Diceros bicornis minor: one gene and its partner. The protein of the gene in region 1 interacts with the protein of each later gene in a biochemical or structural test. Links are inferred from orthologs where the notes say so. Each region holds a gene or a part of one and is shown on either strand. Other genes may lie near its edges. The genes, in order: FGF2 and fibroblast growth factor-binding protein 1-like.

Region 1 (12,092 bases):
AAGGTTTACTTTAGTCTTCTGGCTTTTACCTCTCGGAGCCTGATACAAAGCCATGTGAAGCTTGCCCCCTTTACTCATAAGTCCACGTAAGAACCAGTCTCTGGACTCCTGTGAACCATATATAAGAGAGTTTGCATCCATAGCCATCAATGTAATTGGCTTTTGAAAAATTATGCCTCTATGCCATTTTTAACAGCATATTCTTTCTCTGAAGAATTATTCTCACCTTAACTATACCAAATATTTCCACTATCTCAGCTCACGCTATTCCAACATGTATCTTAAAGTTCACTATTCATCTAATAAACATTTTTGACTGTTATTGTGTGCTAGGAGCTAGAATCACAAAGATAGAGAGGGAGCAAGTACACAGTGACATCTGTGCTGACATAGTCATATGCAGATAATGCTGTGGAATAAGTAAACAAGAAACACTCCCTTGGAAGTGGAAAGGGTAGAGAGAGAAAGAGGCCACAGCATGTGCAAAGCCATGGAAGTGAGTGTACCTTCTAGAAACTGCAAATCTGTCTGGGGCTGGGGATTGAATGTAGGAGGGAAGACTGGCGAGGAGGAGCCCAGAGAGGCTGGCAGGGGCTGGGCTGTTTGCCCCGGGTACAGGTCTTTGTGTTTCAACCCGGAAGCACTAGGCGGCTGGAATGATTTTAAGCAGAGAAGTGGATCAAGGTAGGGAAAGCTGGAGCCAAGGGGGCGTATGGGGTAACCATAATGCCTGGCTCATGGCTAGTGCTCAGTGAATGTCCGTCATGCTTTTATTCGTGGATGAGTAGTGCCCCATCCCCATGTCGACCTCCACAAATTTAAAAGTCCTTAAGTGTGGAAGAGTAAGATGATGTCTGCATAAGGTAGAAACTGGTTTGGCTAGACCACTTTCACTGTTTACATTCCACATGTTCAAATATCCTCCTAATAAAAATGGGCCCATTTAGTTTGCTGTTTACTTAGAGCAGAAGTAGCGCTCTATCTGACCGGAGTGGGCAGAACCCTTGCTTAGGTTCTGAACACAGGATGTGTTTACAGGTCCTTTTTGGTTACTCAGAGCCTCTGTTATTCTATTTATAATCCAGGTCCTTTGCTTTTCTTTTTATTCCTTCTGATGTCCAATGTTTTACCTTTTAAGGACTCTTCACATTCACAGGTGTTGGGGAGAATGAATGAAGAAAGTAAGTTAATTTTTAAAAACATTTTTGGAGTAGGAATTTTCACCAAAGCTTTCCCTAAATTCTATGTGCTTCCCTAAAGACTTTAATATCAGTATTTATGCACTTCTGGGCATCAGGTTCTTTTGTAGAGAAAATATATCCATTCCACCCAAATTTTGTTTATATCTAAAATTATTTACATAGCAGTGAAATTAAATTCCCAGTATTGCTGGTTTATTTTTCTCACTCTTTTTTTCTTTGTGGACAGTTAACAATGACCAGAAAAAAAGAGAACTCATTAATTTTGTCTTAAATATTTTAATAACTTGAAACAATTTATGCCAAAGTATCTACATTTTCTCTAAAGTATGAGTTAAAGTTTCAGATATTGGCTGTATCTTTGCTTCTGAGCCAACCCAGGCTATCTTTCCAAAGCACAGGTTTTTCATCTATTGAGATGCATTTATTGATGGTACAGATGAACTTGTAAAGATTGATTAGGAGCATGGATGTCACATAATTGAAGTGTTGATTCCATGTTCTTATTACTAAAGATGAGATTTGGGATATGGTGGGGAGTAGAGATTCACCTTATGCTATATATATTTTTAAGTTTATAAAGTTAAAACAGTGTGATACTGGTATTAGACAATCAAATAGATCAATTATCGAACAGACCAATGGTGCAGAAAAATAGCTTGACAATAGACCTTATTTTATTACAAATATCTAACATGATGAAGCATTAAAATTCAACAGAAATTGGATATCCATATGCCAAAAAATGAGCTTTGATCTGTACCTTACACCTTATACAGAAATTAACTTAAAATGGATCATAGACCTAAATGTAAAACATAAAACTAAAAAACCTTTTGAAGAAAACATAGGATAAATCCTTGTGCCCTTGGGTTGTGCAAAGAATTCTTAGATATGACATGAAAAATGTGATCCATAAAAAAAAATTGATAAATTGGACTTCAAAACTAAAAGGATTTGTTCTGAAAAAGACACTGTTAAGATAATGAGAAGACAAGTCACAGACTGGGAGAAAATATTTGTAAATCACATATTTGTGCTCAGAATATGTGAATAACTCTCAAAACTCAATTAATTAATTGTAGTGATGATTACACAACTCTTTGACTATACTAAAAACCACTGAATTATACACTTTAAGTGGTGAATTGCATGGTTTGGAAGTTTTATCTCAATAAAGCTGTTATTAAGAAGTGGAGAGAGAGTTTGACTACCAAGGGGTGGCAAGAGGGAATTCTTTTTTTTTTAGAGAGAACTCTTTTCTTTTTAGGATGATGGAACTTGATTCTGGTAGTGGTTACACAATTCTATACATTTGTCAGAACTCATAGAGTTACGCATCAAAAAGAGTGAATTATACTGTATGTAAATTTAACAATAAATTTTAAAAACTTTCAAAAGGTCAATGGAGAAGTTAAGGTTTAAGAAATAAATGAGGGGCCAGCCTGGTGGTGTAGTGGTTAACTGCACGTGCTCTGCTGTGGTGGCCTGGGGTTCGGATCCCTAGCGTGTACCAGCGCACCGCTTGTCAAGCCATGCTGTGGTGGCGTCCCATATAAAGTGGAGGAAGGTGAGCACGGATGTTAGCCCAGGGCCAGTCTTCCTCAGCAAAAAAAAGAGGAGGATTGGCGACAGATGTTAACTCAGGGCTAATCTTCCTCACTAATTAATTAATTAATTAATTTAAAAAAAGGGCCGGCCCGGTGGCGTAGTGGTTGGGTGCACACACTCCGCTGCGGTGGCCCAGGGATCACGGGTTCGGATCCCAGGCACGCACTGACACACCACTTGTCGGGCCATGCTGTGGCAGCATCCCATATAAAGTGGACGAAGATGGGCAGGGATGTTAGCCCAGGGCCAGTCTTCCTCAGCAAAGAGAGGAGGATTGGCAACAGATGTTAGCTCAGGGCTAATCTCACCAAAAAAAAAGAAACTTCATTAGCTAGTTAGGAAAAAATAGTTGAGGCTGACCTTTAACCACCTACCAAAACAAATTCTGGGAGGATTGAAGAATTAAATATTTTTTGTCATAGAAAAAAAAAAAACAGATATTGCTCAAGCCTTTGGAGTAGGGAGAACTTTTTAAATTAGAAAAGATGAAGGAAGTGCTGAATGAAAGATTTATGGATCTAGCTATGTAAAAATGTAGAAATCCAGATTTCAGAAAGCCCCCAAAGTAAACAAACTGGGAAAACATATATTCAACAAATACAACAAGAAAGTGTCTTTACTATATAAAGAACTCATACAAATCAATCTAGAAATCACATAAACCTAAATTGATAAAGCATATAATTCCTATTTAATTTTGCAGTTATTGTTTTCATTTTCCTCTACTGTGGCTGTCATTGTGTTCCCTACACTTTGAAGAAGATCAAAGGAGGAAAAAGGCAATCCTCTTTCTTGTACTTCAGAAAATGTGTCAGATCTTCACCCCACCTTAACTACAGAATTATGGGTTTTTTTGTTTGTTTAATTCTTTTTTTTTTTTTAAAGAAATTCTTTTTTGGGAAGGGAATGATTGGCCCTGAGCTAACATCTGTTGCCAATCTTCCTCTCTTTTTTTTTTCCCTCCCCAAAGCTCCAGTACGTAGTTGTATATTCTAGTTGTAAGTCCTTCTAGTTCTTCTATGTGAGCTGCTGCCACAACATGGCTACTGACAGATGAGTGTTGTGGTTCCGCACCCGGGAACTGAACCCCCGCTGCTGAAGTGGAGCGTGCCGCACTTGAACCACTAGGCCGTCAGCTCTGGCTCTGTACCACTATACCTCAGTACCGTCTATGCACCGGACACTCATCCTCAGTGCCTAATTTGCACCAGCCACTACACTTATGTGCCTTCCATGGACCAGCCACTGTACCTCAGTACTTACTATGCACCATCCATTATACTGCTGTGCCTACTATGCATTAGCCACTGTACCTCAGTACCTATTATGCACCAGGAGCCATACTTCAGGGCCTTCCCTGCGCCAGCCAATTCTTTATGACAAGCTCTTTTGATTTCATTACTGACCTGTGTCAAGCACACAATAGGCAAGGCCACGGCCAAGCCCTGCCAGTTTGGGCCAGTGAAGACACAACGAGCCCTTTTTAGCTTTAGATGGTTTATTACTTACATGGACAACTAAAGGAAGAGTAGCTAAAGATGCCAGTTCCCCGTGGTCCTGGCTCCACAGACCAAAAAGGATGACATGCAACAAAAGGGCCAGATGATTGCAGAGCGAGTTGCAGTACACTCTGTGGCCAAGCAGGGAGTTCCGGGTTGCAACTAAATGGTTTTATAGCCTGACGTTCTGTCTAAGGTGGGCGAGGCAGAATGCCTCACACCTCATCAGAACCTGGGAGGCGATGAGAAACTGTCTTATGTCAGTCTCCCTGACAGACAGGGAAGCGAGTGAGACATGTCCTGGTAGCAACTCCTCACAAGCCTCCGTGCTGTGGTGTTCCAGGAAGACCGCAAGGAGGATCTGCCAAGACTTAGGACAGGCTACAGTCCAAACCTGGCCTATCTGGATATGTGCGGGGTCACGAGGGTGCCGTGGCAGAGCCGTCCCCCTACAACTTGCTGGTTACCTCCCTGATCTGCAGAAGTCACTCATCTCCTCTCATCTGCAATGAGACTTGCTCCATTTGTCCCCTTTCCTGTTTGTGAAATAAAGCTGTGTGATCCATCTGCATAGAATTTACTCACTGCCTGTTCTCCTTAGTTCACTACTTTTTTCCAAATTATCTAATATTTTCCACTATGCTACTAAGAATAAGAAGGAAAAGTATGAGTATATTCTGTATTGTATATTTCCGTGTAATAAACCACCCCAAAACTTAGCAGCTTAAACCAACAACCACTTACTATTTCTCATGATTCTGTGTGTTGGGTGGGTGCTCCTCTGCTGGTTTTGCCTGGGCATACAGCTGGGATCAGCTGGGCTAGAAGGTCCAAGATAGCCTCAGGCACGTATCTGGCAGTTGGATCTGGCTATCTCTTGGGGCAATTAGTTCTCCATTGGCCTCTCATCCTCGGTAAGCTAGACTGGCTGCCTTACATGTCCCTCTTGGGCAGCATTCCCAGAGACCCAAGGCAGAAGCTTAAGATCTAGTTTGGAAGTCACGCAACTTCACTTCTACCACATTCTTTTTGTCAAAGCAAGTGATGAGAACAGCCGAGATTCAAGGGGTGGGGAATAGATTCCTCCTCTTGATAGGATGAGTTGCAAAAAAAGCGCATGCCCGTGTTTTTCAATCTACATCAATACAAAAAGACTAGACTAACTTCCATCGAGTGAATAGGTTCATTGAAGCCCAAACAAAATATGACTTGACTTTTCATTCAGGTAAGTTAGAATGCCAATAGACTAAACATCTCCAGTTCTGGTCACTGCAATAAAATTACCGTAACACTAACAGGTCAAGGATGGAAACTACTAAAAGTTGTCATAGGCCCAGAAAATATTTGCAAGAGGAAGTAGTGATATTAAGTCTTATTTCTGCAGGCAAGGTGACCTGACAAGGATGGTTTCCAAACCTCAGAGAGTTATGCCTATTTGATTCCGAGTTTCTTTAGTTAATAATAGAATGGAGAACATCCAAAGATTTTGTTAGTTAAGGGGAATTTGCAAGTTAACTGTTTTAAGTAACTATTGGTTGGCCAACATTCACTGACAGGAGTTTGCATTTTTACCATCTACCTTGCATAACTGATGAAAGTGAAATGAGGTAATTAATGTAATGTGTGTAGTGTAATACCTGGCTCACTTTGCCTTAAAAAAATATAGTTGCTACTGTTATTGTATTCAAAGCTTCACCAAGAATTTACATTGTTTAATGGTAAGTAGACATTCTATTTGGTACTTTCTTAATATATTTTTGTGGTCAAAGTGGGTGCTCGATAAACTTGCTTTAAAAACTTTTCAAGCTGAAATTATCATTGCCATATTCTATGGGGTAAAAATTTGGAACCTCCATTTTCTATTTGTTCATATGTTGGAAATTGACCTAGCACAAATGCAACAGTCAGCTATTGCTGTGTAACAAAAAAACCACAAAAGAATCTCAGTGGCATTTAACAAAAGCATTTATTTTGCTCATGGATCTGTGAAGTGGCTAGAGACATTTTGCCTCTGACTGCAACACCTGGTTCTGCCTCATGCTACAAGTCGCAGATAGGTAGAAACAGCTCTGCTCAAAATGTGTTTATTCTGAGGCCCAGACTGAAGGGGCAGCAGCTACCTAAAGTAAGTTTATCTCATGGCAATGGCATAGGCACAAGAGAACAAGCAAAAATATGAAGGATCTCTGAAGGTCTAGGTTCAGAACTGACGTACTGTCACTTCCACCCAAGCCAATGGAATAGCCAAGTTCACCTTTAGTAGGAGGAACTACTAAGTCACAGGGAAAACTCCAAGTAACAATAAGAGGTGAAGAATTGAAGCCAATAATGCAATCTACCACAATATTGTTTAAGGACTCTTGGCCTGCTGGCAGACAGTCCCTAATCCTACCTCCGTAAAGAGACATGTCTCCTGGTTAGGCTTCTCATACTTTCTCAATAGGACACAAATCTCTTGGTTGGCTGACTGTTGAAGCTCATGATTCTATCTTTAAATAATAACGTGGGATGTCTGCCTTGTCAAAAGTTCAGAAATAATAGAAGTAAAACCAGCGAATCACTGAAGTAGTAATTAGTAAAAGTTTATTGTATACACAACAAAAAGACAGTCTGCAAACGAGGAACATTCAAACAAAAACATGAACTGAGGCTCAGGGGTGTAGTGTTATAAAGCAGTTTATATAGTGAGAAGTAGTGACTATTTATCTTCACAGTGATTGGTTATAATATTAGCATCTTCAGTGCTTACTTCATATCAACCTTGGGAAACAGTTCAAGTTTTGCTTGTAATTTCCAGAGGCATAAGCAAGAAATGACCCGGGGCAAGTTAGTCTTGCAAAATAAGCTAAATTAGGCTTCGCTTGTATGATTAAACTGGTTTTGTCTGCTCAGGGAATTTTCAAGGATGATCTCCATTTGTTTTTGATTTTAACAATTCCCCCCTTTTGGTCATTCTCTCAGCAGGCTGAGAGAATGACCAACTAGTTTAGCGTTATTCTTGGTTATGACCATTGACGTAGTCAGGCCAGAGAATCACATATTCACTGTTTCCGCTAGTTGAGTCGTCAGGCCGGAGGGCCATGTAGTCACTGTCTTTGTCATTTATGTGGTTATTATTATTATTATTATTATTTTTGCTGAGGAAGATTTGCCCTGAGCTAACATCTGTTGCCAATCTTTCTGTTTTGTTTTTTTTTTTGGCTTGAGGAAGACTAGCCCTTAGCTAACATCTGTGCCAATCCTCCTCCATTTTGTAAGTGGGTCACTGCCACAGCATGGCTGATGAGTGGTGTAGGTCCGCGCCCAGGATCCAAACCCACCAACCTGGGCTGCCAAAATGGAGCGCTCCGAACTCAATCACTATGCCACAGAGCTGGCCCCATATGTGGTTATTGCTTTCACCCTGTTGTCTGATCCTGATGGGTACCATTTGGCGTGTGAGTGGCTGCTGACAGACATTTAAAACCCTTGAGAGTATACGACGTACTAGAGGGTTAATATGACTACTATAAGGAGAACAATAGCCAAGGACTGAAAAATTCCTGAAGCAGAGATTTCTAGGAGCCAAGATTTAAACAACTAAATAAATCACATGAGTTTTGATTTTTTTAAGTTATTTACATGAACATAACATGATGTATTAGCAAACACATATCCTCATGATTACTTAGGACAAGATGAATGTGAGGATGTTTTATTTCAGGAAGTGGTGATACAGGTGAGCTTTCATTTCAATTAGGTCTCTATATGATGTGAGCAATCAGGTAATTTAGTGAGAGGCATTTCTGTGGAAACAAAAGAAAAACAAAGGTTAATAGTTGGAGCAAATTATAAACTCAGTTTCTGAGTTTGGAAAGCAGCCAGTTGAAAAGATTTCTAAATGTCAGTGTCTAAGCCTCTTCAGGTGGAGCAAGGCAAGCAGTGTCAATCTGACAGATTTTCCTGGTTTGCAGGGTGAATGTCTCTGGCCATCTTTCTGAGTGGCCGCATAGCAACAGGCACGAAGATTGTCCACACACAAGTGATGATTTCTCTGAAGTTTATATCAATATGTCCAGCTATAGCTGGCATGGCTTCTGGAAAAGGGCAGTTTTAGTTTCATAGTGATTCCAGGTTGAAAGAATGGGAGAAAATTGGAAATTTTAGTTTGGAAATTTCTAGCCAAATACTGGAGGGAACTAGAAGAATTCAGGATCCAGTCCAGGTTACAGGTAGAAAAGAAAACCTCAAAGACAATTAACAGTACTAGAATCTGATATCCACCAAGATGTATTTCTGAAATATAATTTTTCTCCTTATGATCATTCCCATTTCTATCAAAGATAACCATAGTAAGACTAATTTGTTTGCAAATTAATTCTAGTTTGAATAAACTTGGCTGATTATTTACATAAGTGCAGCAAGAATAGTGATTGACTATATAGGCTCCTTTGAATTTGCTTTGCTGGAACTTTTCATAAGGAATCTCAGAGTGGACTATCAAAAGCCTCTTGAGGCTAGGAAGCCAAGCCAAGGACTTGTCCAATTGTGTCCTGTTACAAGGAGAATAGATTCTTATTGAACTTATGCAAATACATATATTTTCATGAAAAATAAGAATATTTAATAAGAGTTTCTAAATTCTGGAGGAATCAGGTAGGAAGAAAAAGATAAATGCTTCAACTTTTGTTGCAAAGAAACACTTTACCAAGTTGCCCTGAGTTATAGATAGCTTAAAAGACAGGAGAAAAAGGGATGCTTTAAATCTGGAAAACAAAACATTACAGAATCAGCAATGTTTTAAATGAACTCATAAAAATCATAATCATCTTCATCAGTTGATTTAGTCTCCTGTAATTAATTCTTGTTTTGCTTCATCTTGGGTTAGCAACTTTATGAGTCAATCAGTTTCCCATTAGAATTCTATAAATTCTTATCCAGTTCAGTTATCAGAAGCCTGCATTTTAGAGTACTTGTCAGGATCTTTTCCATGAATCTCTTTGAAGATGAAATGCACTTCACAAGAAGATTTTTGCAAAAACATCAGAGTAAAACAATAACTGTCAGTAAATGACAAAAGACTTAAAAATGACCATGGTTAAAGATCTTGTGGGAGTTCCTTATAATGTGGTTGACAAGGAAATTTGGTTATTTCTCTGACATACACTTGAAAACAATAACTAGAATAGTGACTGATAACATTATACCAGGACATATCAGATTTTTAGGAATTTCATATAATTTCTTTAACACTTATATTAATAACATATTTATACAAATATAAACTAAAGAAAGTTTAGCATCACTTCTTATTTGACAAAGCTTCCCATGTAATTTAGCATATCAAATAAGCACAATTAGTTTAATATTTTTCTTTTATGAGGAGAGAAAACAAATCTTTTGAGATGTTCCAGGGGCCTTCTGTAAAATCCCAAAGTTAGTTCAAGATCAAAAAGACTTCATTCAGAATTTGATTTGAGGAAGTTTGTTAAAAATGTCAAAAAATTTAAAACATTTGATCAAATAGGATTATAGGTCACTGTGAAACAATACTTAGTTATCCCTTCAACTAAAGTGACAAAAGATTTCAGAGGCAAATATAGAAAGTTATATAGTTGTAAAAAACCTTAGCTCTTTTAATAGAGAAGACGATTTTTCTAATTAATCAAAGCATGATGAAGAAAACATGAAACACAGGAAATATTTTTATAAGACACAGAATCTTTGTTTCTTCAGCAGATTATATTAAAGGTAAAGGAAAACCTTTGTTTATAGTTTCTTTTTTATTTTGTTTTGTGAGGAGATCAGCCCTGTGCTAACATCTGCCAATCTTCCTCTTTTTTTGCTGATGGGCTAACATCCGTGCCCATCTTCCTCTACTTTATATGGGACGCCACCACAGCATGGCTTGGCAGGCGGTGCGTCAGTTCATGCCCGGGATCTGAACTGGCAAACCCCGGGCCGCCGCAGCAGCGGAGTACGCGCACTTAACCACTTGCGCCACCAGGCCGGCCCCAATATAGTTTCTTATTAAGAGCAGACCAATAACCTAAGAAAACTTTGTCCTTTGAACGGAAAAAAAACCAAATTCTAATTTTGCACCAGTGTACTTTTGATATTAAAACTCTCTTTTTTTCTTTCTTTTTAACTTAAATAAATCCATTCCAATCCTAGTCAACTTGACCACATATAAAATTCCTTTCTCAGGAGTTTTTTTCCACAAGAAACCTTCTACAACTTTCTATATCCATTTAGGTTTTGTCCTATCTTTTTCCTTTCTTATTCTGGAGCAATCATTTTATTTTAGGACAAAATTACTTTCTTTTTTCCTTTTTACATACACACACAAAAAACAAAACAAAAAAAAACCATGTCCTGCATACTTTTCCTTATCCAGAAAATACATTCTATTTTCCTTGCCTACTTTTCATATACAGTCATTTTCCTTCACCCTTATTATTTCTAGTAGTTTTTTTTTTTTTACATATTGACTATAAATTTTAACTACTTGTAATCTTTCCAGTGAAAACTGGGAAGTAGGCAACTGTAATCTTTCTATCATATATTAGCATCCTATAGTAGATTGGCAATTTATAAATACATTTCATAATTTCTAGAAGTGTATTTTTTTATCATAGTAAACTTTTCAATGTGGCACAAAACGTGCGTATTAGTAGACACAAATATCTTTTGTTTCTCTGTAAAAAAATTTAAAAGCCAAAATTAGATAAACTTATTGTTTAGCATTTAATATTTACCTTATTTGAAAACGATTTTGATATTCAATGAATACCCATTGTTTAGTTTAACTTAGTATAAACTTTTACCTTATTTACATTTATTTAAATTACTTGCTTTTAACAATTATGCTTGGGTTAGACATTAAACAGCTAACCATCATCTTAAGTTATTTTTGTTGTTGATAGAATTTGGAGACATGCCTGCTTCTATTAAACCAACAAACTTAAAATAGCTTTTATTTATCAAAGATTATCCCAGATCATGTGAACATAAAAACATTTGGGCTAGTTTCTGTATTTCTGAGAGTATACTTGATTTATACAAATGCTTAGTTTTCTTTAAGCCAATTAAATAGACCTCTTTACAAATTAACTTTGGCAATACCATCCAGAGGTAGAAAAATATCACATATCTGTAACATACATACAGAGACATACATAAACATACAGATAGAAACAAACAGAGATCTTATAGCTTTTGTTTAAAAAATTTTAGCCATGTCTCAGGTACAAAACTCAAAAGAATTGTTGAATCCAAATTGTGTTTCTGGCAGATGGACTAAGTTAAGGTTACCTGCTCAGATGGTCAAAGAGTTTTTTACTAAAGATTTTTTATTTGCATGCTGTAATGATTCTTTTAGAGCTTTATTTTTGGAGTCATTTTGTCTTTTAGAAGGTTGTGGATACCAATCAAAGAATGCATTCTCTTGTCTCTGAGAGGTTTGGGAATCCTCTCTTTTAAGTGTGCCCCTGAAAGTGGACTTATCTAAGTTAAAGTCTCCCAAAAGTGGCCACTATAATTCCAAAAATTCATCAATTTTCCAAAAAGGCACAAGATCTTGGTCCATAGACCAGGTGGAACCCATCTTTGCTTTAGATTCCCTAACACATCTTAACTATGAGGGTTCCTGTTTTCCAACGGCTGTTCCAAAACATAGAGAATCATGTGTTTTTCCCCTTTTGAAGAGAATAGGATGACTTACCAAGAAGCTTCAACAAACAAAGTACAAGTATGCACAATAAAGTTAGAGAGCTCAACATGCAAAGAAAGTGAAGTTTGGATC
Region 2 (12,202 bases), on another chromosome or scaffold:
GTCTTACAAGAACCTTTACAGATGGTTTCATTGTCCCCATTGTTGAGATGAGTCACTGGTGCTCAGACGGGTTAAATAATTGAGCCAGAGACCTTGGTTGGGAAGCAGCAGAGGCAAACCTCTAGTCCAGGTCCAGTTGACTCTGTCATGTTGGAAATAAGTGTCCTCTGAGTTCTGCCAGTGGCCACAGGCCATGAGTGAGCAGAAGATCCATCACCTTCCTGGGCTGGAAGGGATCTTAAGAGGGCTTCGGGTCTGGCCTAGTCGGTTCTCCAATGTTTACATCACCCTGACCAGACTAAGGTTATTATTTAATGACTCCCGGAAGTGTTTAACAGTGTTTTCCTATCTTAGGACTACATTGAATTGAGATGTATGAGTCGGGGAGAGGAGTCACAAGGCTGACAATCTGTGTAGACCTTAAGGGAAAATGTCCTTCCCCAGGTGTGGCTAGGAGGGGGTTGGGGAGGGTCTGGGATGTTGGTTCAATTAGGAGTGGGGGTAAGGTTCACGAGTCAGATCCTGGGCCCTGTCCTACAAAGACGCTGCAGTCTTTGATATTTCTGAACACACCAAGCAGCATCCAGTCATTGGAATAGAAGCACCAGGAAGAGAGGGATTTTTTTTTTTTTTTAGTTTTTGCTGCCCTTTTCTATCCCCAGAACAGTGTCTGGTACATAGTAGGAGCTCATAGTAGGTAATAAATAAACTAATTAATTAATTTCAGGCAATTTGCGTTGACTGTTCACTCTGTTTGGAATATGCTTAACCCAGAGAGTCACCTGGCTTGAGTCCTCACTTCAATTAGGTCTAGCCTCAAAAGTCACCTCCACAGAGAGGCCTCCCCTGACCATCTCATCTAAGACTGGTTATCCTCCATCACTTCTACCCACTTCCCCTCCTTTACTCTTCCTCTCTATCTCTTGTATACTTGTGAGTTTATCATCGCTTTCCTCTCTGGTAGTGCCATGGGGCAGAGCATCCTCCTGTATCTCCAGCCCCTAGAACAGAGTCTGGCAGAGTCTATGCCCAATATTATGTGTTGAATGAAGAAGTGAATGAATGAATGCATGCATACTCCATGGAAAGAGCTTAGCACAGTGCCTGGCACATAACAAGTGGGAGATAAATGTTAGTATTGATGGTATTGATGATGACAGCCAAATGTCACTCTGAGCCTGCCACACTCTGGATTGGCCACTGACAACCCTCAGGGTAGGTCCTGGTATGTTGGTGAGTGTAAAATGCCACCCTTCCACCCCATCTGCCATTCCTCACTGCCACTGACAGAGACTCTGAAGAACAGTGCTTTTACCAACTCCTGCTCTGCACTTTGTGCTCTTAGTGGAATTGTGATAAGGCACTGGGGACACATCATCCTCTCTCCCTAACTCTTGAGCTAAAACAATTTCAGATCCTTCATACTAACGTGGAAATGACTAATAGCAGTGTCATCCTTGCAGCCAACCACATTCCAGCCACGTGGTCTCCTCCATCTTCTAGGATTTCCTCATTTCTTTGTTTTTACACATGCTGTCATCTGCCTAAAGTGCCCCATTCTGCCCCATTTCCTACCTAAAGATACTCTGTCCAAAATCCAGCTCCAGTATCATCTCCTCTAGGAAGCTCAATCTGGGATCTTCTAGCAGTTTCTACCTCTTCTGGCTGGTTTTCCATGCTGCCTTTTCCCCCTTCCATTAGAGTCTTCATCACAGGGCGCTGTACTTACCCAGGCTCTTCTCCCCCAGGGCAGAAATGAGCTCCTCAAGCTCGGGATTCCTGCATGGGGCGGGGGGTGGTAATGGGCACTGACTTGAGTCAGTGAATGGCATGCCTCTAGTCTTAGGACTTGGCTTGCAGACCTACTGAGTTCAAATCTGCCTCCCCTCTTACCATCTGTGAGATCCGGACAAAAGTCTTAATCACACCACGCCCCAGGTGTCCCTCTTGAAATCAGGGATCCTAGTTATTACAGTTCAGTAAACATCAAATACCACAGAACATTGGATGAAAGTAGAAAGATTCTGCAATGGGTCACTTTTGGAGATCACTTGGGATGGGTGAAGAACAAGAAGTTGTTCCCTATTTTTTCCACTGATGTTTTGGGGCTCGTTTATGAGATCATTGGAACTAGACATAGAGAAACCAAACAACGGTTGAACATATTTCTGAAAGACTACCAGAGCTTTATTATCTTTGATAATTCAGCAGAAAGTGCATCACACTGAAATCACTCTGGCTCATTCAGCTCGAATACTGGTCCTCACTGCTCATATGCATATAGCTCAGTGGGCCATGGAAACATACACTTTGGTGAACAACCTCTGAAAATCACGTGAATATAAAGCAAATTCCAAAACACGAAAACAAAAATTACAAAATCTGTTTAAATATTCCACTGCACTCTCATAGCACAAATGTTCATCTTACTTGGAGAACTTTACAGCATATTGAAGAGCTTTGATGTGACAACTCCTGGTGGACTCTGTTCTGTTTTGACCTCGTTAGCATGTGTTGCTCTGTATCATGCTGAGGAAGAACATGCAGAAAGAGCTCCAGGACTCTCCGCAGTAGTCCAGGGCTGACTTCCTCTGGTTTACTAATTCTGGGTCATCCACACACTCGGTATTTTTGGTGGTCGTGGGTAGGGTCTCCCCCAGGCTGGTAAGGGTGTTCTCTTTGACCTTGAGCTGCTCCCTGGAGGAAACCTGGTTGACCTTGTTAGGCTCCGTGAGGGACGCCTCAGTGACCTTGCTCTGCTTGCTGGGAGAGGGCTCCATGTACTCCTGGCTGGGTCTCTTGCTCCCAATCAAAGTGGAGCTCACTAGCTTGAGATTGGATTCTGGAAACTTCTTTCTACACACCTTGGTCTTCAGGACACTCCTGGAGTCCCCACAGATGGCCTTCTGAGAGCGCAAACTCCGGCCAATTTGTTTCCAATAGACGTTCTTGTTGTTCGACTCTAGGCACGAGCTTGGATTGCCGGTAAAGACACAGGAAAACTTGTTGTCCTGTCGGGTACACTCGACCTTCAGGGCGATGCCCTCCCCCAGCTCAGTCACCACCCAACTGCAGTCGGCATGGTCTTTGGTGACAAACTTGCCTTTGGTAAGCCGTTTGGTCTGCTGGCTTCTCTGCTCAATCTGGGGCTTGCCCAGAGTGTGCAGTTTATCTGTGGTGGCTTTGCTGACATGTTGGTTCTTTGCTTCCTTTTTCCCCTCCAACAAGAGCACCTGAGCAACCAGAAGGAGGAAGGGCAACAGGATGAGGCTGTGGAACCTCATGGCTTCAGCTTAGTGGAACCTGTTTGACAAAAGGCAGGTGAGTCAGTGCCGGGCAGCAGTTCAGCAGGGCAAGGCTTCAGGCTGACCCTCCCTCCACCTGGACACATGCCAGCCTGCTGGCAGTGAGATCAAGAATACTTCTGGCTGGTAGAATCACTAGACAAGCAGCCCATCTGTTCACATTTCTGATTGACTGGAGTCTTGAATGTCCAAAATTTCCTACTCTTCATTCATTCCTTCATCACTCTCAGCCTCATTAACTCTCACTCACTCATTTAAACTTGTATTTTCCCACTCTTTCATCTGTCATTCAATAAGCATTTATGGAGCACCTACTATAGGCTATGCTTTGGATTAGAAGTGGACTTTTTCAAGGCGAATGAGTAAGTCATGTCTTAAAGAGCTTAGAGGCAATTCTTTGGGGGAATTTAAACAGCATTAACCAGAAGTCTGTCCCAACTGTGTCTATAACTAGATACTGGGCAAGTCACTCTCCTCCTCTGCATCTCACTTCCTATATCTGGAAATCAAGGTGTTGGATGAGATAATTGCAAACTGTCCTCTAGCTCCAGTGTGCTGGATTTCTAACTCACAGTTCCACATGGACTCAGATCACAACACGAGGAGAAAGGACATGGTAAGTGACGTGAAAGGCGATGTCTGACCCCAGGTTAAACATGCATGGGGTGGGACACTCTGAGATGGGTGGGTTGGTGAGGGGGCATTTGGGATGCAGTAAGAGTCTAAGGAAAGGCATGAGGGAGTGGAGGTCATTCAATTTGACTGGGCAAAGTGAACTGGGGGATAGGGGTGAATTTCCACCAGAGCATTTAGACTGCAGGCTTGAAGGGAAGGATCGTGTCTAATTGATTTCTGGAGTCCTGTTGTGACACAGTGCTGGGCATATGGAAAGCCCTCAGTCAGTGCTTTTAAAAATATATTATTGAAGAAACAGGATGACCTAAAATGCTACACTAAACTGCATGAATTTCACCGGGGGGGGGGGGGGATAAAAAGAAACACGCTGGGAAGGAGAAGAGAAATAGGATTTCTATTCAACATCTGCTATGTGCTATGTCCTCCACCAGCATTTGAGTCTCATCTTGTTTAATCCACTCAAGAGCCCTACCTGGTAGGTAAGAGTAAGTCACCCCCAGGTAACAGATATGACAGTTAAAACTCAGACCAGTAAATAAATTGCTCGAGATCCCATAGTGGGCAGGTGACAAAGCTGGGACAGACAGCCAGAACTTATCTCTCTGGTCCTGTAGACCAACACTTACTGATGGATTATGCCTTTATCTTTACTTTTCAGAAAAAATTGACTGCTAATAAGAAAACTACGAACTACTCAGGGTTTGGTTTGGTGTAGTTCATGATAAGATGATTCATATTATCAGTGCTCCATTTTAAAAGAAAACACAGAATTTTGTCTGCAAACCAGCAGGCCCAGAAAATTGCCTGGATCTCATTTCCACCCCGGGCATATGGCCTCCCCTTAGGATAGAGAAAGGGAAGACAGTGAAAGGTATGTGGGATCCCGAAGTGAGGGGTGGGACAAAGGCTGGGTATACCAGACAGAGACCCACTCGGTCCTCAGGGTGTTGGGACTCAGCCTCAACATGTCCCTGATGGAATCCAGACCCCAGGAACATGAGGTCCTCAAGGAGCTGGCAAAGGGCGGTGGAATTACACCCTTAAGAGAGCCAGGCTCTTACCTTGTCCTGAGGGTGCAGATCCAGTGCAATCCCAGATGCCAGAGTGAGCTCGCAGGCTTGCAGCTGTCTCATTTGCAGTGTGAGGCAGGGAAGGCCCTTTTTATAGGAGCCCAGGCAGACAGGGTTTTTACAACACACATAGCTGTGGAGCTTTTTTCACACTCCTCTCAGCCACACCCCTTTTGGAAGGAGCATTTCTTGCAGGAAAAGTGGTTGATGTAATCCTGTGTGTGTGTGTGGGGGGGTGGTGTACATGCATGGCATTAGACTTACTTCCTGCAAGGCCTTCTTTTCCTCCAGTGGCCTGGATAGGAGGACAGCTCAGCCTTGCAAAGACCCTCCCTGATGGGATGAGGACCCCAGCAGCAATATCCATAGTAGAGGAGTAATAACAAGCATAAGAAATAATCATAGTTGCCAAACACTGTGCTAGGCCTACGTATCCTAAAGCTCTCCCTTCATTCTCATCACATCCCCTCCGTGATGTGGGAAGCTATGATTCTCCGCATTGTACAGAAGGAAAATTGGAGCTTGGAGATATTCAGGGCTTATCCAAGGTCACCCTGCTGGGAAGAGGAGGAGCCCAGAGTTTAAACCCGGGCCTCCCTGCATCCATCATCTCATCTCCTCCTACCTGCCACTCTCAAGACACATTTGGTGAGTGAGCAACTGAAGCTGGGGAAGCCGTCTTAGTCTCTGTGTCCCTGTTTTCACTGAGGCACCTAAAGTTCCTGTGTAGGCAGAGGAATCCTGGGGCTCTGAGAGGCTGGCAAAGAGGAAGCTCCTGATCTGGGCGTTTCTGCTGAAAATACTCACCTTCAGGTCACTTGCGGGGACCTCACTCTGGTCAGCCTTCTATAGACAGAGTCTGGTACCAGAATGAGCTGGTGGAAGCCTGGATACAGCATTGGTTTAGGGGTGTGAGCTTTACCCCTCTGAACCTCCACTTGTTCCTCTACAGATTGCTGACAACAATAGAACCTCATTTAGGGTTTCATACTAAACTATTGAGGTGGCTGAACTATTAACCTAAAGTAGAGCTTATTGGATTTAGTTCATAATGTGGTCTTTAAAAACAGGCATATTTTGTTTTCATATTCAGCATATAGAAAGAGATTCACTTCCACAAAGAACATGTGGACCTCATTATATTTTGTCACCTCACTCTTCATTATATTTGGGCACAAGAAATTGTTATTTTCTTCTTAACTCAGCTCTACGGAAAACAATAGCACAAAGTGATACTAAAAGGCAACTGACCCTTGCCTTTGCAACAGGGACAAAAGGGAGCACTGGGGACTGCAGCAATCTGGGTAGTTCCTGATGTCTAAAAGTCAACACTCAGCTCCAATTGACTGAGAACAAGTTGACATGGGGGTCATTATTGTCAGACTTTATGATTTTTATTCATATATACATTTTTTTAACAAAAATAGAGACTTCATGAACTTTTAAGTGTTGTCTCAACATCCAGATGTGTAAATATGAAACTGGGCTGGCATCTAACTGAAATTTTTAAAAACACTGCCCTGGCCCACAATAAAGATACCAAAAGTTGTTACTGTGTTTGGAGTCCATTCAAGGTCCACCAGTTTGTGAATTCCAAGGTCCCAGAGCTATGGATGTCGACTGGGTCACTCGGTGTTTCAAAGGGTCTCTTCATGAGTTCCATTGCAGGAGGCCATTTCCCCAAACTCTAAGCCTCTTTTAAAACTGACCAGTTAAGGACTATCCCCATTGTCCCGACCACCAGCCCATAGAAGCTGTGACCTCCACACACAGGCACTCACAACGTGGTATTTAGGGGATTATTTGGACAGAGGCAAGATAAAGCTTCTTGTTCCACAGGCAGATAGAGATCAAGGTGGACTCTGAAAACATGAGAAATTTATCTTGATCCTCAGAAGGCAGCCAGATTCTTTCTGGAGGAAGGATGTAGGTCAGAACGCAAAGCAAATTTAGAAGGAAACAGGTCAACTCCACGATCTTTTCTCTAAGCTTTTCTCTAAGAAGTGTCTCTAAGCTTGGCAGGGAACATGGAACTGCCCAACTGGGTTCCATGGACCTTCAGCCTTCCTGTGATCCCATCCCAACTTCTGCCTTGATCTTTCTGTTTCAAACAGGGGGCATACTATTAGACCAGGCTGTGTAGCCCTTTCCTTATTGACTCAGCCTGTCATTCCAAACTCATTTCCAGACACGCACACACACACACGCACACACACACACAGAGTAATCTGGCCAAAGTAAACCACTCACCCAACATTTCTTGAATACTCGTGCACTTGCTTTCTTCCTGCCTCTGCTCCTGCTGTTCCCCTTACTTGGAATGCCCTTCCAGTCTTACTTTGCCAGGCACACACCAGCTCATCCTTCAAGACCCAGCTCAGATGTTGTCTCCTCTCTGTTGGTGTCATTGGTCCTCTGCTCCTTCCCTGTGCTCCCCACCCTTTCTTGGATATTCATGGAGAGAAATAGACCATCACCCCAGTGAGTGTTTACAATGTGCCAGCATTGTGCTAAGGCTGTGTTCCCTCATTAATTCACATCTCGATATACTGAGAAAATGATATACCTCTACAGTACACGGGGGAAACCAGAGAGGGTTTGGAGCTCCAGCAAGACTGTTCTCAGCAGGTTCCCATTGCCTCCTCAAACTCTCAGGACCAAGGGGATCCCTGACTCCTGGAGAACTGACTATGTAAAGGCTCATCACTCTTTTTCACAACAATCCCAGGAGGAAAGGTCCCCCTGGATCCTCTTGGTGCACATGTGGAGCTGAGGTTTATATGGCCTAAGCACACACCTGACACACAATTAGAGAAGAATTAAATGGAGGCCACTTCTAATATTATTATTAAAAACAAAGTAAACCTACTCATACTTTGATAAATTGTAAGCTCTCTCTTTCCCTTCTTACCCCATCATTCTTTAATATATATGTTTTAAATATTAGAATAGTATTAGCTTTACAAAATATTTGGAAAGATAGTTCTCCTGCCCCACACCTCACTCAGCTTCCTCTGTTGTTAACCTTTTACATCATAATGCTGCATTTGTAAACTATTGCAGCAATATTGATATAGTATTACAAGGTAAAGTCCATAGTTTGTTCAGCCCTCCATACTTTTTACCTACGTTCTATTCTTAATCATTAATAGACTTTATTTTTAAGAGCAGTTTTTGGTTCCCAGCAAAATTGAGCAGAAAGTACAGAGCATTCCACTATATACCATGTCCCTCATTTACAAAGCTGCCTGCAGTATCAATATCCTCCACCAGAATGGTCCAATCATTACAGTTAATGAACCTTCTTTGACACATCATAATTACCCAAAGTCCATAGTTTCCATAATTGTTCACTCTTGATATTGGACAATCTATGGGTTTTGACAAATGTATAATGACATGTTTCTACTACGATGGTATCATACAGAGTACTTTCACTGCCTTAAAAATCCTCTGAGCTGCACCTATTCATCCCCCCCTCCTGCCTAATCCCTGGATATCTCCAATCTTTGTCTACTGTCTCCATAGTTTTGCCTTCCCAATGCCATATAGTTGGAATCTGAATTTATTCTTTTCAGATTGGCTTCTTTCACTCAATAATACAATTTTAAAGTTCTCCCATGTCTTTTTATGGCTTGATAACTCATTTCCTTTTAGCATTTAATAGTATTCCATTGTCTGGATGTACAGAGTATTTATCCACTCACCTCCTGGAGGACATCTCATTTGCTCCAATGTTTTGGCAATTATCAATAAAGCTGCTATAAACATCCATGTGCAGGTTTTGGTGTGGACATAAGTTTTCAACCCCTAATGGTCTTTTCTGTCCAGCATCCCATCCAAGATTCCACACGACATTTAGTAGTCATGATGCCTGAGGCTCCTCCTGGCTGTGACAGTTTCTCAGATGTTCCTTGTTTTTGATGACCTTGAGGTTTTCAGGTATACTGGTCAGGTGTTTTGAGGATGTGTTCCTTTTGGGATTTGTCTAGTCCTTTACTCCTGATTAGACTGGAGTTATGTCATTCTTCTCTTCATCAGAGATTTACATGATGGAGAGCAGGTTTCCTTTTGGGAGTTCCATAGGAAGTCTGAACACATGTGGTCACCACCACAGGTTAAGGCTGGTAGTTGAATGCATGTCTCATGCAGTCTGGTCACTGGCAGGAGATTTCAAGTTCAAAAGCTGATTTTATTCTCATGTGTGTTACTACCGTATGGTTCCTTGACCTAGAGGGTTCCCATCTGGGGGTGCAGCCATCAGAGATTATATTAGTGGATGCAACTTTGTTCTGAGGGGAGTCTTAACTGTGCATTTTGCCAGGCCACACTTGGTCAAAAATCAGCCCCTCCTTCAAAAGTGACCTCATGTACAGACAAAATCCTGAGTTGCTGCATCAAATTGATATTAATTTCTTGGACCAAATGATGTGCATTAACAACTTATTCATTGTCAGAAAATGAGGAAATTGGTCAAACAAACATCAGCTAGAATCTAATGAGGTGGCAGAAAGTAGTCATCTTAGATCTTCTGAGGAGTGTTGACATTCCAAATTTAAAATGCTCACTAGTCATGGGATTTCAGAATCCTTGTATAGCAAATCAAATGATGCACAGTGCTCAAGTTTTACTTCCAAAAAATAAGAGACAGAGAGGAGTTGATGGTACAGCATTTGGTGTGAATGCAACCTGAAAATCTATTTATGTTTATTTAAGGAACGCCCTGTGTCATACCCCATAATATTGAACACATTTTGTTTGTAGCCGTGTGCACTACTTGGTTCTGATTCTGAATCCACCTAAAAAGTAACTCACAGAGTTTAATTAAATTAAACTAAATGAAATTATTGTTTGTGGTAATTTGGTAGGTAAAAATGGTAGAATATCAGCAATTCTGAATAGATCAACGTATAATAATAGTTAGGATTTTTTTCTCTAATAAGGCTTGTTTCAAAGCCTTATATGTTCTTTTAAAATTTTTTTTGGTTTATTTTATAACAAACTCTCCACACAAGGTAAGTTCATTGATCACCTCTGGGTCCTCATGTATGTTCTTTTTAATAAATCACTGTAAAACATCTTAGACATCCTTTAAAGAAGTCTGCTCCTTTTGGATAAAGCATCACATATGGGTGTACAACTGACCTCTCCGTATCTTGTGGCAGAAGGAAGTCCTAGGGAGGCTGCCTTTGGAATTTTCCATCTCCACTGTATGTTTGTTACAAAGAGTGCCAGTTGCCACCCTGGGAAGCTGGAAAAGGGAGAAGACAAGCTGCCCTTTCTCTGCGATAATGCTGCCAGTCACCATGCACGTGGGCATATGAATCGCAGCTGCTGTCCAGCAGGTGAAGACGTTTAGATGAAAGGCATCAGAAAACAGCTCTGAAAAGCCTGTAAAGGCACCTGGGAAAATGGCTCCCACATTCAGAGAGCAGAGCACTCTCACATGCTGTGGGCTGTTTAGGGGAAGATAGAGATGGCAGAGGAATAAAATACTGGACGGCTCTAGGAAGAACAGGGCTAGCCTCTAACCTGACCTCATTCATTCTGCCACTCAGGGGGCCGGCCCCGTGGTGTAGCGGTTAAGTGCACATGCTCCACTGCTGGCGGCCCGGGTTCAGATCCCGGGCGTGCACCGATGCACCGCTTGTCAGGCCATGCTGCGGAGGAAGTGGGCACGGATGTTAGCCTAAGGCCAGTCTTCCTCAGCAAAAAAAGAGGAGGATTGGCATGGATGTTAGCTCAGGGCTGATCTTACTCACAAAACAAACAAACAATATTCTACCACTCAGTCTGTCATTCATTCATTCTTCCATTCATCCAAAGAGCGCTCATGAAGCACCTAATATCCCAGGCTTTCTGTCATTGACTAGAATGCAGTCAGGGCAACATAGTCCTTGCTCTCAAAGAGATGGCAGATAATAGGGAGAAAGGCAAGGATACCTATCATGACCATATACGAGTAATTACTATGTTGGAGGGAAGCCTGGGTACTCAGGGTGGAGACATCTAACTTAGTCAGTGGCAGAGAGAATTTCTCAGGTTCCTGCAACTAGGTAAGAGACAACTCAACAGCTAGAGGTAAAAGAACAGTATTTATTCAATCATTATTCAGTAACCACTCTATGCAAACTGCAGTGTTAGTCATCGTAGGGAATGCAAAGGTGAATATGATTTGGCTTTTGCCCTCAACACTGGTCCGCACAGTCTATGGCTCACTGTCTGATGATTGCTGTAGTGGTGACATCTCCTCACTTCCTAGCCTCAAGCGTCTTATCATTTTTCATCTGCTTAGAGAATGAGGCTCAAATTTCTGAATCTGACATATGAGGACTTTCCCTTCTTGATCTGCCATTTCAAGGTCAATACCCGCCACACCCTACACACATGTCCTTGGGCTCCAGCTACATCTGGCCGTCTACTCTTCCCCCCACATTTCAGGAGACATTGCCTCTGCCAAACTCACCTTTACCTAAAATTCCATTCTACCCTTATCTACCTGGTAATTTCTCCTTCTACCTGACTCCCGCTGTCCACAACAGAATTCATTATTCCTCATCTGTGTCCTCACAAATCTTTACACACTTCACCATTATTATAGGTGACTTGTCAGCTTGCTGTGGTTCGTTCATGTGCTTGCCACCATCCTCATTATGGGGAGTGATGTCTCTAGCCCAGAGCTCAAGCATGAAGCTTAGAAAATACTTAGCAAAAATTTATTGGATTGAATTGAATTTTCTTTTATCAGGATTATTCTGATTGCAATAATAGAAAGAAAACTGAAATCAACAGAAACAAAATCGAGAATTTATTGGAAGTTTCTTATAACTTATGGAAAACAAGGGTTGTGTAGGATGACTGTCTCAAAATATACCCTTGGGATTTTAATTTATTGAGGTGATGGAGTGACTGATGCACTGAAAGAAGTTTATGACTTACATTTCCCAAGAGAAGGGGGTATACCACGCCATGTGGGCCATAGGGGAATCATCTGATTTGGTCAGGAGGCAGAAACAGGAGGGAGGGGAAAGCCTAGGCCAGAGCCCTCACTGTGGTTACTTGAGGGAAAGGTACTTCCCCTTTGACTATTTCAACACGACAAAAAGGCAGGGCAGAGCAAACAGGTTAGGACTGGCAATGCTGAATAATTCTGGACGGCTTGGAATATATTGGGAAGTTGTCTGGTACCTG

What was found.
Region 2: the proteins of FGF2 (region 1) and fibroblast growth factor-binding protein 1-like form a complex in vitro, tested with the Homo sapiens proteins (2 studies listed by BioGRID and IntAct, with this or other methods). The link is inferred for Diceros bicornis minor from reciprocal best matches to the Homo sapiens genes FGF2 and FGFBP1.

Annotation. Positions count from the first base shown.
Region 1 is NC_080750.1:15,949,654-15,961,745, forward strand, and holds the start of FGF2 (fibroblast growth factor 2), read left to right. Parts: upstream 1-7,646; coding exon 7,647-7,746; intron 7,747-12,092. UniProt on the Homo sapiens protein: Acts as a ligand for FGFR1, FGFR2, FGFR3 and FGFR4. Also acts as an integrin ligand which is required for FGF2 signaling. Binds to integrin ITGAV:ITGB3.
Region 2 is NC_080747.1:12,401,948-12,414,149, forward strand, and holds fibroblast growth factor-binding protein 1-like, read right to left. Parts: upstream 5,034-12,202; 5' UTR 5,003-5,033; intron 3,304-5,002; 5' UTR 3,285-3,303; coding exon 2,505-3,284; 3' UTR 2,165-2,504; downstream 1-2,164.